3 linked regions of the Mus musculus genome follow. The protein of the gene in region 2 interacts with the protein of the main gene of each other region in a pairwise test. Links are inferred from orthologs where the notes say so. Each region holds a gene or a part of one and is shown on either strand. Other genes may lie near its edges.

Region 1 (4,212 bases), on a different chromosome or scaffold from region 2:
AGAAATCAAACTCATCACGGCTCTTTTGGAACTGTAACAGAAATGCAGTTCCAGAACTCAAGACTGTTTGTTACCTGGCCTGCTAAGGACAGTGGTTTGCCTACCACTGGCCTGGCTGGATGGCAGGCAGTTTCCAGTGGGGCTGAGCAGTAGGGTCTCCCCAAAAGATGGATGTGTTCTCCCAAAACACTCCCCCTGGATACAGAGATGCTGAGAAGACATGATGCGTCCTGCTCTTACAGTCCTCTCCCTCCGCTGTTAAGCTGCAGGACAACTCTTACTGTCCTACTGAGCGACTGCATCCCTGCCTATTGGCAGGTAGGCTAGCATAGGTTAGGTCATGTCAGTGCGGAACAGCCTCCCCCAACCCCTGAAAAACCTTCAATTATCAGCTCACTTTGTACTATAGATTTGAGATCTCGGCCTCGCCCCTCTTCCTTCAGGCCTCCATCATTCTATTTCTGGTATATCTCTTCTAAAGCTCTCCCATTCAAACGTGAAGGTGAGATGCACTGTCCTAATAGCGCTCATCTGAAGGGTAATTCATGCCTACTTCTTTCCTATGGGCCCACCATTCTTTTATAAGTTATGACAGATGGCAATTTCCTACCGGTGGTTATTTTAGACCTTATTAAGAAGGGGACATCTGAATGAGTCCCTACAATAAGCTTTCAAGATAAGCACTCGTTGGTCACGGGGAAAACGCTAGCAGCTCTTACCGAAGTAGTCAAGCCACTTCATCCCTTGCAGCGCCTTGGGGAGCCGAAGGATCTCGATGTTGTACAGATTTTCCACCTCCTTGAGGAGGGTCTGTCTGTCGGACTCAATTTGCTTGGTTCGAACTTGCACTGCAAAGAGGTGAAAGCGGACGGATCCCGCGTCAGGTGTGCGAAGCCGTCGCATCCGCGTCCCAACCCACCCAAAACCCACGATCACGCGAATCCACCCCTTACCCTCGCGGTCGAAGTCCTTCAGGAAGGAGGCGAGCTTCCGGCTCCGCAGCGTGTTGGTCCTGGTTCCGCGGCTGCTGCGTTTCTTGGGAGCCATGGCGCCTGGCTGCGTCGAGCGAGGGGCCAAGCAGCCGGCTCCGCGACTGAGACGGGGAGAGGGTGTGAGCGGTCGGAGAGCTGAGAAAGTTCAGTCGTTGGAGTCTAGGTTTCCAGAACTCTGCCGAAACCTACCTGCAGGTCCCAAAACACAGTCTGAGGAACCCTCACAGCTCCAACTAAGGGACGGGCGGCTCCTCGGTTAACCGCCACCCAATTCAAACTCAACGGGCACAGCCTAGCCAATAGCAAATCGCCGTCTTAGGACGGTTCTCACCACGCCCAATCACAATAAAGCTTCTTCTCCTTCCGCCAGCCAATCCTCATGGAGGACTTCAATGCCCAGATGTCATTGCGGCACACGCCATCTTTTCGCGACTCCAGAGTCGTGCTAACTGGAAGTAGAGTGGTGAGTTCGTTCTTGTGAATAAGCGCGGTGTAGTTTTTGATGTACTCAGCGTTGACATCGCAGGATTTACGTTTTCCTGTTGATTTAGGGCTGGAAATCTTAAAGAGAGGCGACAAGACTGACTCCAGAAGCACAGGTCCCGGAACAGACAGACCCCAGAGACTCGCAGTCTAAAGCAGATTGCCCTGTCGTGAAGAAACCCCTTCGGAAGACCCGAAGCAACGGTCTTCCTGCAGAGAGAAGGTAAGAGGACCGCCAGAATCAATATTCTTGAGTGTCCGCGGTTACAAGACAGAGACACAGCTCCACTCTGCAGCGTGGGGAGTTGCCCTAGCCTTTTAAGGACTTGAGCTCAGTTGATGGCCCTGACGCTGAAAAGAACTCAGCACTAGCTGAGCTCAGTTGATGGCCCTGACGCTGAAAAGAACTCAGCACTAGCTGATTTATGAAGCAGAGTTACATGAACATATTTGCTACGGGGCCTCACCATATAACGCTGGCTATCTTGGAAGTCTCTGTGTATACTAGTTTGGCCTCGAACTCACAGAGATCTGCTTGTTTCTGTCTTTCCAGTGCTAGGATTAAAGATGCATTCGACAACTCCCAGCCTATGGCTGTTTTAAATACAGGCATAAGCACAAGAATTAAGAGAGAGAGGCAGGCACCTAGGCATAAAAGACACTTGCATGCTCCTCAGAGAATCTCAGAAAGTTAGACATAGCCACGTGGGTATGAGATTCTCTAGGGAGATCAGCAGTTGATTTTCTTTCTTTTCCCCCAGTTTCTTGAGACCAGGCTGGCCTCAAACCCAAAACCCGGCTCTGCTTCCAGAGGGCTGGAATTAAAGTCATGTTACATTAGCCACAATTACTTATTTTGGTGGCTTTCAGTTTACATCTCAAAAGGGTTTCTAAAAACCCTTGTGACTCCCTTCAAACAAGAAGTTGTTTGATAAGAGAAGTAAGTGAGGTGGCTTTCAAGATTCTTTGATGGTATTAAATCCTACAGATGTAAATGGGGTAGTGTGTGTCCTTTCTCTGTAAATGGGATTCCTGGTGAGATTTCTAGAACATGGAAGATTTACAGCAGGAAGGAAGAAAGGCTGTTCACAGTTGGTAAGTGTACTTGCAGGAATTCTTCCTTCATTGTTGGCTGAAGGTGTCAGCCCACTTCCAGGACTAGGAGTTCTTGTTTGTGTCCCCCAAAGTCTCCCTACCTTTCATTATTGCCTTGGGACTATTTGAAGACCAACAGCTGGTCTTCTCCTGAGGTCGGAAATGACGCAGCCTTGATGCAGGCCCTCCCTTCTGGTACCCTGACTCCCTTTTGTTTTGTTTATTTTTTCCCAGAAAATGGCTCATGACCAGCCTCTGCTGGTTGTGCAGGAGGCCCTGAGGAAGTGCTTCCCTGTGGTGGAGGAACAGCAGAACCTGTGGCAGAGCACCCTGCAGGACTGCTCGCCCCTCCTGTCCTCTCTCAGTAACCTGGCTGAGCAGCTGCAAGCCGCACAGAGTCTGCGCTTTGAGGATGTGCCAGCCCTGCGTCCCTTTCCAGACTTACAGGAGCGGTTGAGGCGCAAGCAGCTGGAGGCTGGTGACGTTGTTCTGGACAAGCTAGCTGAGCGGCTGTAAGAGGCTCTGTTGTCCCCCTTTGTTGATGGACAGATCTTAATGCCGCATGGCATCCCAGCCTCAGTCAGGGGGTCCTACAGAAATCGACAAAAGCAAGTCAGGAGTAATCATGCTGGAGCTAAGTTGAATGTCTGTGAGTTCGAGGCCAGCCTGGACTACATTGTAAGACCATGCATGTCTTTAAAACAAAACAAAACAACCCAAATCAGGCCAGGTGTTTAATCTCAGCACTAAGGAGGCATATACAAGCAGATCTCTGAGTTCAAGGCCAGTCTGGTCTACATAGAGAGTTCCAAGGCAACCAGGGCTACACAGATAAACCCAGTCTCAAAATAAATAAGTAAGTAAACAAACAAATAAATAAAAATAACCCCAAACCAACTAAATAAATGGAAGAAATTACAAAAGCAGAAAAGAAGAGGGTGGCGAGGAGTGCAGCCCTCTTCTGTCGTTGTCCTTGGTGTACTGCAGTTCAGGGAGAGCTGGGAGTAAGGACTGTGTGTCCGGGACCTTGTACACCTCTGCCTTATACCTGTCTATGCACTTGGAAGCAAGAAAAGGGAAACTCAAACTGATTGTCCTGATCACAGAGTCCGTGAGAAATAGAGCCAGGAATCTGAAGTGGGCCTGCCACTTAAGCTGGGGCTTCTTACCACCACCTGGTTCTACACACAAGTGGATACATGTGTAACTAAGTAGCCCAAGAAACAGTAACAACACAGGTGTTACACAGATACTCTGTTTTCTGCTTTTTTTTTTTTTTTTTTTTTTTTTTTTGGTTTTTTTGGAGACAGGGTTTCTCTGTATAGTCCTGGCTGTCCTGGAACTCACTTTGTAGACCAGGCTGGCCTCGAACTCAGAAATCCGCCTGCCTCTGCCTCCTGAGTGCTGGGATTAAAGGTGTGCGCCACCACACCCGGCTTCTGCTTGTTCTTGATGTTAGTCATCGACTATAAGCAGGTCTTACACACTTGAGGATTTTGGATTGTTTCCTGTTTTTACACCATAAGCCACAGTAGGATATTTAGAGCTAGCGTTCTGGGCTAGAGGATCCCTTGTCCATTGGGAAGTTGCAGCCTTTGTTTTAGTGATGGGTTCCTTAGAGTCAGCATTCGAATACTATGTA
Region 2 (3,235 bases):
GCTGGGTCCAATTCCTATATACCCTGCCTCCTCACCGCTTTGAAGGTTAAGCTAACCAACCTTGGGGGGGAGGGGTGTCACACCAGGAGTCTTGACCCTCTCCCTCCCCAACAGCAACGCTCTGGGTATTCAGCCCCACGGCCCCAGGACTGCCATTGGCCGCACCTGACACACTGTGGCCTCACTCTCATCCATACTGTCCCGCAGCTGCTGCAGCTCTGCCTCGCGGTCTCTGAGCTTCCCTTCCAGGACACAGTGTAGCAAGGCCTCATCCGAAGGGGGTGGAGGTGGTGGAGGGGGTGGAGAGCGGTCTCCACCAGAACTGCTGCCAGGGGAGGCCCGGGCACCACTGCCCAAGAGCCCCCCAGCTACACGACCCCCCAAGGAGCCCGTGCTTTTGCTGGAGGAGGACCGGCCACTGTCTGAATGGGAGGGCCCAGTAGGGACCCCTCGGGCTGGACCAGGCAGTGCCCCTCGGCCAGGGCCGTGGGAGGGCAGGTGCCCACCTGGGGAGTTGGTGGTTGGCTCGGCACCTCCAGTGCTGTAGGTGGGCAAGCTGGATAAAGAATTTCGGCCAGAGTCTGACAGCGTTCCTGAAGGGCAGCCACTGGCCCAACCACTCAGTGCCAAGGGTTTGTCAGCAGCAGAGGAGGAAGAGGAAGAGGAGGAGGAAGAGGCTGGCCCCCCAAACAGCTGTGTCAGGCTGCCCTGGCTCCCAGATAGCCCAGCAGCTCGAGGACCAAGGAAGCCGGGTAGGGATGGCGCCCCCCGAGGTTTGGGTAGCACTGGCTTGAAGGCTGTTGGCCGGATCAGGATCTTCTCCATATTCTGAAATGAGGCACCAGTTGACACTGTGAGGGTGATCTGCCCAGTCCCTTGCCCTTTTTAAAATGTTATTTCTGTTGCTTTTCTGAGACAGGGTTTTACTTTACTGGCCCGAGCTCACTCACTTTGTATCCCCAAGCTAGGCTTGATCACAAGCAAGGTTTCTCTGCCTTTTAAGATTACAGGGGTGGGTGGGGGGTGGGTGGGGGGTGGCTCAGCGGTTAAGAGCACTGACTGTTCTTCTGAAGGTCCTGAGTTCAAATCCCAGCAACCACATGGTGGCTCACAACCACCCGTAATGAGATCTGGTGCCCTCTTCTGGTGTGTTCAAAGACAGCTACAGTGTACTTATGTATAATAATAAATAAATCTTTAAAAACAAAACAAAAACAAACAAACAAAAAAAGATTACAGGGTGTGTGCCGGGCAGTGGTGGTGCACGCCTTTAATCTCAGCACTTGGGAGGCAGAGGCAGAGGCAGGCAGATTTCTGAGTTCGAGGCCAGCCTGGTCTACAGAGTGAGCTCCAGGACAGCCAGGATTATACAGAGAAACTCTGTCTCCAAAAACCAAAAACCAAACCAAACCAAACCAAACAAAAACCAAGATTACAGGTGTGTCATACCAAGCCCAGTTTGCTTGCTTGATCTTTCAAAACACTAACGTGTGTAAGTTTGTGTGTGTGTGTGGTGTATATGTATGTTTTATGTGCATGAGTGTGCACGTGTGCACACACTGGTGACTGGTGACTGCGTGTGAAGAGACCAAATGTCAAAGTCAGGTGTTTTCCTCAATTACTTTCCACCTAATTTGTTATACAGCCTCTGAACCTGGAGTTCACCAACCCAGCCAGCCTGACTGGCCAGCCAGCCCCAGGGATCTGCCTGTCTCTGCCCGTCAAGTGCTGAGATTCCAGTCCTTTGCCACAATGGCCAACTTCTTACAGGGTACTGGGGATCTGAACTCAGGTTCTTGTGTTTATGCAGCAAGCATCTCACCCACTTTGCTATCTCTTCAAGCCTCAAACCTTGATCTTTCAAAACTGTCACACTACTCGATTCCCCATACAGGGTCCTCAAGTCCTATAAATTAAAAACAACTCTTCCCTCTAGCAGCAAGTTTCTAATTGCCTACTTACATTAAGTAATTCAAAATGCTCATTTTTTAATCATAATAGCTACACAAACAAAACATGATCCTCTTCTCATATTAAAAACAAGGATGTAGAGGCCCATAGTAAAGTTAAAGGTTTTGCCCAAGGACACATACACACACCTCTGAATAATTGAAGCAACTAGGCTGGAGGTGGTAACAAATGCCTTTAATCCTAGCCCTCGGGAGGCAGAAGCAAGCAGATCTCTGTGAGTTCGAGGCCAGCCTGGTCTGCACAGTGAGTTCCAGGACAGCCAAGGCTACAGAGAGAAACCATGTCTCAAAAAACAAAATAAAACTAACTCAGACAATTACTATATTGTTCATTTGAGGTTGCTGGGTACTTTACTATGTATTAATTCTAACAGGAACCTACAAAGATTAGCCTCTAACCGTAACCATAAAGACACAGAAAACGGGGCTCAGACAGGTTATTTCACTGTCTGAGTGGTAAGACAGAACCCATATTCTTTGCTCTACTGACGCTTCCAAATTCTAGCTTCCCTGAGGGGCTCCTGGCTTCCCACCCAGGTCCTCCCAAAAGGGCTGCCCGTTACCTTCTCCAGCTTTCCAGAGACAGGGATGAGCTTTGGTGGGGGCCCACGGAGGTGGGCATTGTGTGCCTGATGTTCCCGGGGATCTTCAACATCACTGCTGGGGCTGGGAGGAGACTCTGTCCGGAAGTCCTCATTGACATAGGTAAAGCTATTGCCTGGGACAGCCTTCCTCGGTGGCACAGCCGGGCAGAGCGGTTCCTGTGCCTCGTAGCCACCCGGTAGCAGCCCATCCTGCTGGCGGAAGAAGGTGGGCCCAGGGACACCATGATGTCGTTGAGGAGCAGGTCCCCCGGGGCAGGGCCGGCCTGAGATAAGACTGCTCACGCTGCCCATTGCTGGAGTTTTGGGGGCAGTGGCTGTCTCACGTGCGGGCTCCAGAGGCACTGGCAGAGTGTGCACAATGGCCATGGTGGCAGAGGCTCAGGTCTGGCCAGGGGCCTCCGGGGCAACCTGTGAGCAGGGCATTGGTGTCAGAGTCCCTGCACCTTGAGGATCCTCCCCCTATAAGCCTTCTCCTGACCCCCTCCTCCAGATAGAACATTCCCCATTTAGGAAAAAGGCTTCCCTTCCAAGAACTGGCATGAACCTCGAGTTCCTCTGGGCCTCAACTCTAGTCTGGAACAAGGCTAAGGAATAACTTGACCACACAGAGAGGAAGGAATGGGAGATCTAAACATTTATACAGGGTTCCTTGGCAGAGAA
Region 3 (4,007 bases), on a different chromosome or scaffold from region 2:
TCAGTGGTTAATGTTTTCTGTGAGCAATTCCAGCTTTAGGAGATCCAACACCTTCTTCTAGCTTTCTTGGGCACCTACCTGTACACATGCCCCACCCCCACCGCAATCTAAAGATAAATGTAAATACATAGAGCTAGAGAAATGGCTCAGTGGCTGAGAGGATACTGCTCTTGTAGAAGTCCTGAGTTTGTTTTCCAGGATCTATGTTCGGCAGGTCACCACCACCACCTGGAACGCCAGCTCTAGGAGATCCTATACCCTCTTCTGGCACCTGTACACACGTACACACGTACACACGTACACACACACACACACACAAACACACTAACTAAAAATATATCTTAGCCAGAAATGGTAGTGCATGCCTCTGAGTTCCAGGCTAGCCAGATCTATATAGTAAGTTCCAGGAAATCCACCAGGACTACTAGAGAAACTCTGTCTCAAAAAAGCCTAAAATAGTCAGGCCATGGTGCAAACTTTTAATCCCAGCCTTTCGGTAGTGAGTTCAAGGCCAGCCAAGGCCTTTCATAGCTGTATGTAGTCCAGGACAGCCAGGATTACATAGAGACCATGTATCAAACCACCTTACCAAAACAAAATGAGACAAAAGCAACCGATGGATCTTTAGAGAAAAACATTAAAAAAGTAAAAAATAAATAAGTCAAAATAAGGGGCTGGAGGGATGGCTCAGTGGTTAAGAGCACTGACTGCTCTTCCAGAGGTATTGAGTTCAATTCCCAGCAACCACATGGTGGCTCACAACCATCTGCAATGAGAGCTGATGCCCTCCTCTCATGTGTCTGAAGAGAGCAACAGTGTGCTCACATACATAAATAATTTTTTTTTTTTTTTTGGTTTTTCCAGACAGGGTTTTTCTGTGTAGCCCTGGCTGTCCTGGAACTCACTCTGTAGACCAGGCTGTCCTCGAACTCAGAAATCTGCTTGCCTCTGCCTCCCAAGTGCTGGGATCAAAGGTGTGCGCCACCAATGCCCAGCAAAATAAATAAATCTTTAAAATATATTTTTTTAAAAATCAAAATAAAATAATAATAACAACCTTAAAGAAAAATGGACAAAGAAATGGGTTCTGGATTCTGCCCTCAGACTTCCAAGGCTCTAGCCCTGCCTAAAATCCTGCCAAGTGAAACTAATTTTAGTTCACTACTACCATTATAATAGAACAAATCTTTTTATTTTAGTGGCCTAAAATAAATAAATTCAAAGTACTAGAGGGTTATTCTGGATGACTGAGTTAAAAAAAAAAAAAGACATAAATCAGTTTTAGTAATTATTATTTCAGCTACATTCTGAAGTATTTGAGGGTGAGAGAAAAAGATGTAACTTGTGAAAGGTGCTTTCAAGTAGCACGGGGGGTGGGGGGGAAGGTAGGGCAAGTCAGCAAGAGATTATGTGTTTGAAATTTTCTGTAAGACTATGCAAACTACAGGAGCTGGGATGGGGCTAAGGTGTACAGTAGTTGGTTGCCTGGTGTGCTGGAGGCCCTAATTCCATCCTCAGCATAGTCAATAAATTTTTAAAAAGAGAAAAAAAGAAAAAAGGTTCCGAGCTGGAGATGTAGCCCAGTAGAAGTGGTGGCCTCCACCTGTAATCCTAGCATTTGGAAACTGAAGGCGTTCAGGATGTAGTAGAGTTGCTGACGGATCAAGAATTCAAGGACATCGAGAGTTACTACACTGCTATCTCAAAGGGGAAAAAAAAAGTTTTACACCTTGGAGAAGAATATTGATGAAGGATTGCCCTATCTTTTCAACATAAGCTCTTTCAAACTTCTTGATGTATGCAAGAAAAATCTAAGTAAACACACGGAGAACACTTCTGTAAAAGCCTGTCAGTCACCTAAGGTTTGGACTCTATTACCAACTCTGCTGGGTGCCAAACTAGTTGTGGCGACAGGCCACAGCGGTGGTCCCGACTGCGTGCCCTTCATTGCTAGCAGCAGAGGGTTTTACCTGCAGTTCTCCTTGAACCGGCACTTTCCCTCCAGGAAGAACGGACAGGGCTTCAGGGACTTGTGGGTAGGGTATAGGTAGAGGACTCGGACGCACGCAGAACCATCCTCCGCCTCTTCGGCGCCCACTACCATAGCGTTGTGATACTCCAGCGTGCCCCAAGCGCTGTAGTAGGGGGCATTCACTTTAGCACCGCTCAGTTCCTCCAGATCTGGGTCCTCCTCCTCCTCCTCCAGTGCAGAGGAGGTGGATCCCGGCTGCACCTCGCTCCCAGGGGCCGTCTCCGAGTCATTGCAGGGGGCGCCGGGCGCTTCCACTTCCTCCGCAATGGCCTTCTGGAAAGCCAGGTACTCAGCATCCTCTTGAGCTGGGCTCTCCTGGTCCACTGTAGACAGCAGCTTGCTCTTTCTGACCGACAACAGGCTGGCCTCGGTGAGCTCAATCAGCTCCTTTAGATCGCCCTGCAGCTGACGCAGGTCCGCCTGCTCAGAAGCGTCTAGGCCAGCACCGAGCGCCAGCTCTACCTGCTGCAGCTGGGCCCGGTAGGTCTGCAGGGCAGTCTCTAGGTTGTCCTCGTCCATCCCGACCCAGCAGGCAGGATTCGGAACCTTTACCGCAGACAAAAACAGGAGGAAGAGCAGTAAGAACAACTCAGGGCAACGCCGCCCCCAAAACCGCTAGGGAGCCTGAGGAGGGCCGCGGTTCCGCCGAGGGGGACCTGCACGTCACCCGCCCCGTCCTCTGCGGCCCGCAACCCCACCTCCGGCCGGCGCTCGCAGGCTAGAAGGGCTTCCGCCCTCGCCAGCCAAGCTCACGCGCTAGCCTTCTGCCCTCCGCCGGGCACTTCCGCCGGAGAGCCGAAGCTGCCGGAAGTACCTGCGCGCGGGGGCCGCTGGGATGCGATTCCGCCCGTGCTCCGTCCTTCGCTCCTTGTTCCGTCAGGCACTGTGAGGGGTCAGCGTGAGGTCGGTGGGGTTAGGAACGCGGCGGCGGCGGCGGCGGCGGCGGCGGCTCCTCCTCCAAGATCTGAGCAGGTACGGGTGGGCCTCAGCTGGACTGAGGGGCCGGGGTTCTAAAGTCCTGGAACAGGGGGACGGAAGTGGCTTCAGCTGCTGGTTCCCAGGCTCCGTGGGCCCGGCGGCGGCGGGAAGCCGAAGCCGACCCTCCTCAGGAGCTCTGCCTCTCTGGTCGCTTCCTAGACTTAAGTCGCCGGCCGCGTTTCCTGGTTCTGAGTTGAGGGTTCGGAAAGAGGAGCCTTAGGAAGGCGGAGCAGAGCAGGCCGCCACGGGCTTTTCAGGACTCCGAATTGATGGTGCATTATGAAAGATGACATTAAGTGGGAGTGGCCCAGGTCTAGCACGTGGTCAGCGATGGCATCGGGGGAATCAGGGTCAGGGATTTTAACAGAAGAGGCGGGATGGGGGCGAAGAGTCAGGATCCGCGAGGCTACACATTTGAAAACTAGCAGGAGAGGCGGACCGCTGATGAAGCGGGCAGGGCAGGAGGCCGATGCCCCCGGTACACACATTGACATCTCTCAGGGTGCCAGAACAGGATGTACACGCTGCTTTCGGGATTGTACAAGTACATGTTCCAGAAGGATGAATACTGCATCCTGATCCTGGGCCTGGACAATGCTGGGAAGACGGTAGGTCCCTGCTCTCTCACCAGTTCCCATTCCCTGCCTGATCTAACCCCCGCCCCAAGGCTACAGGTTAGTAGTCACCAGCCTCCTGAAGATCAAGCCACAGGCAGAGGCGTGCATGGCTGCATGGGTGTGAAGGGATAGGTGGGAAGGACACCAGAAAACTACTCTAGCTGCTGCTATCTAACCCCCTCTCTTTTTTTCCTCAGACTTTCCTGGAACAGTCAAAAACACGCTTTAACAAGAACTACAAGGGGATGAGTCTATCCAAAATCACCACTACCGTGGGTCTAAACAGTAAGGGGGCACCTTAGGGATATGATCTTAGGAGGTCCCTTAGAGATGGATGCTGTAAGGTCCACAACCCAGCTGACCAGTGGTCAAAACCCTGT

The links. The genes of interacting proteins can lie anywhere in the genome.
Region 1: the proteins of Lzts2 (region 2) and 9930104L06Rik interact in binary tests that used the Homo sapiens proteins (3 or more experiments, as listed by UniProt). The two-hybrid records come from large-scale screens. The link is inferred for Mus musculus from reciprocal best matches to the Homo sapiens genes LZTS2 and AIRIM.
Region 3: the proteins of Lzts2 (region 2) and Zgpat interact in binary tests that used the Homo sapiens proteins (3 or more experiments, as listed by UniProt). The two-hybrid records come from large-scale screens. The link is inferred for Mus musculus from reciprocal best matches to the Homo sapiens genes LZTS2 and ZGPAT.

The regions. Positions count from the first base shown.
Region 1 is NC_000070.6:124,935,636-124,939,847, forward strand, and holds the start of 9930104L06Rik (uncharacterized protein C1orf109 homolog), read left to right. Parts: upstream 1-1,412; 5' UTR 1,413-1,698; intron 1,699-2,804; 5' UTR 2,805-2,807; coding exon 2,808-3,082; intron 3,083-4,212. Other genes in the region: Cdca8 (borealin), read right to left, coding at 720-848, 954-1,047. UniProt on the Homo sapiens protein: Part of the 55LCC heterohexameric ATPase complex which is chromatin-associated and promotes replisome proteostasis to maintain replication fork progression and genome stability.
Region 2 is NC_000085.6:45,021,135-45,024,369, reverse strand, and holds part of Lzts2 (leucine zipper putative tumor suppressor 2), read right to left. Parts: intron 2,984-3,235; 5' UTR 2,942-2,983; coding exon 2,534-2,941; intron 2,533-2,533; exon of another isoform or gene 2,100-2,532; intron 829-2,099; coding exon 166-828; intron 1-165. UniProt on the Homo sapiens protein: Negative regulator of katanin-mediated microtubule severing and release from the centrosome. Required for central spindle formation and the completion of cytokinesis.
Region 3 is NC_000068.7:181,364,216-181,368,222, reverse strand, and holds the start of Zgpat (zinc finger CCCH-type with G patch domain-containing protein), read right to left. Parts: upstream 2,801-4,007; 5' UTR 2,552-2,800; coding exon 1,971-2,551; intron 1-1,970. Other genes in the region: Arfrp1 (ADP-ribosylation factor-related protein 1), read left to right, coding at 3,526-3,618, 3,825-3,912. UniProt on the Homo sapiens protein: Transcription repressor that specifically binds the 5'-GGAG[GA]A[GA]A-3' consensus sequence. Represses transcription by recruiting the chromatin multiprotein complex NuRD to target promoters.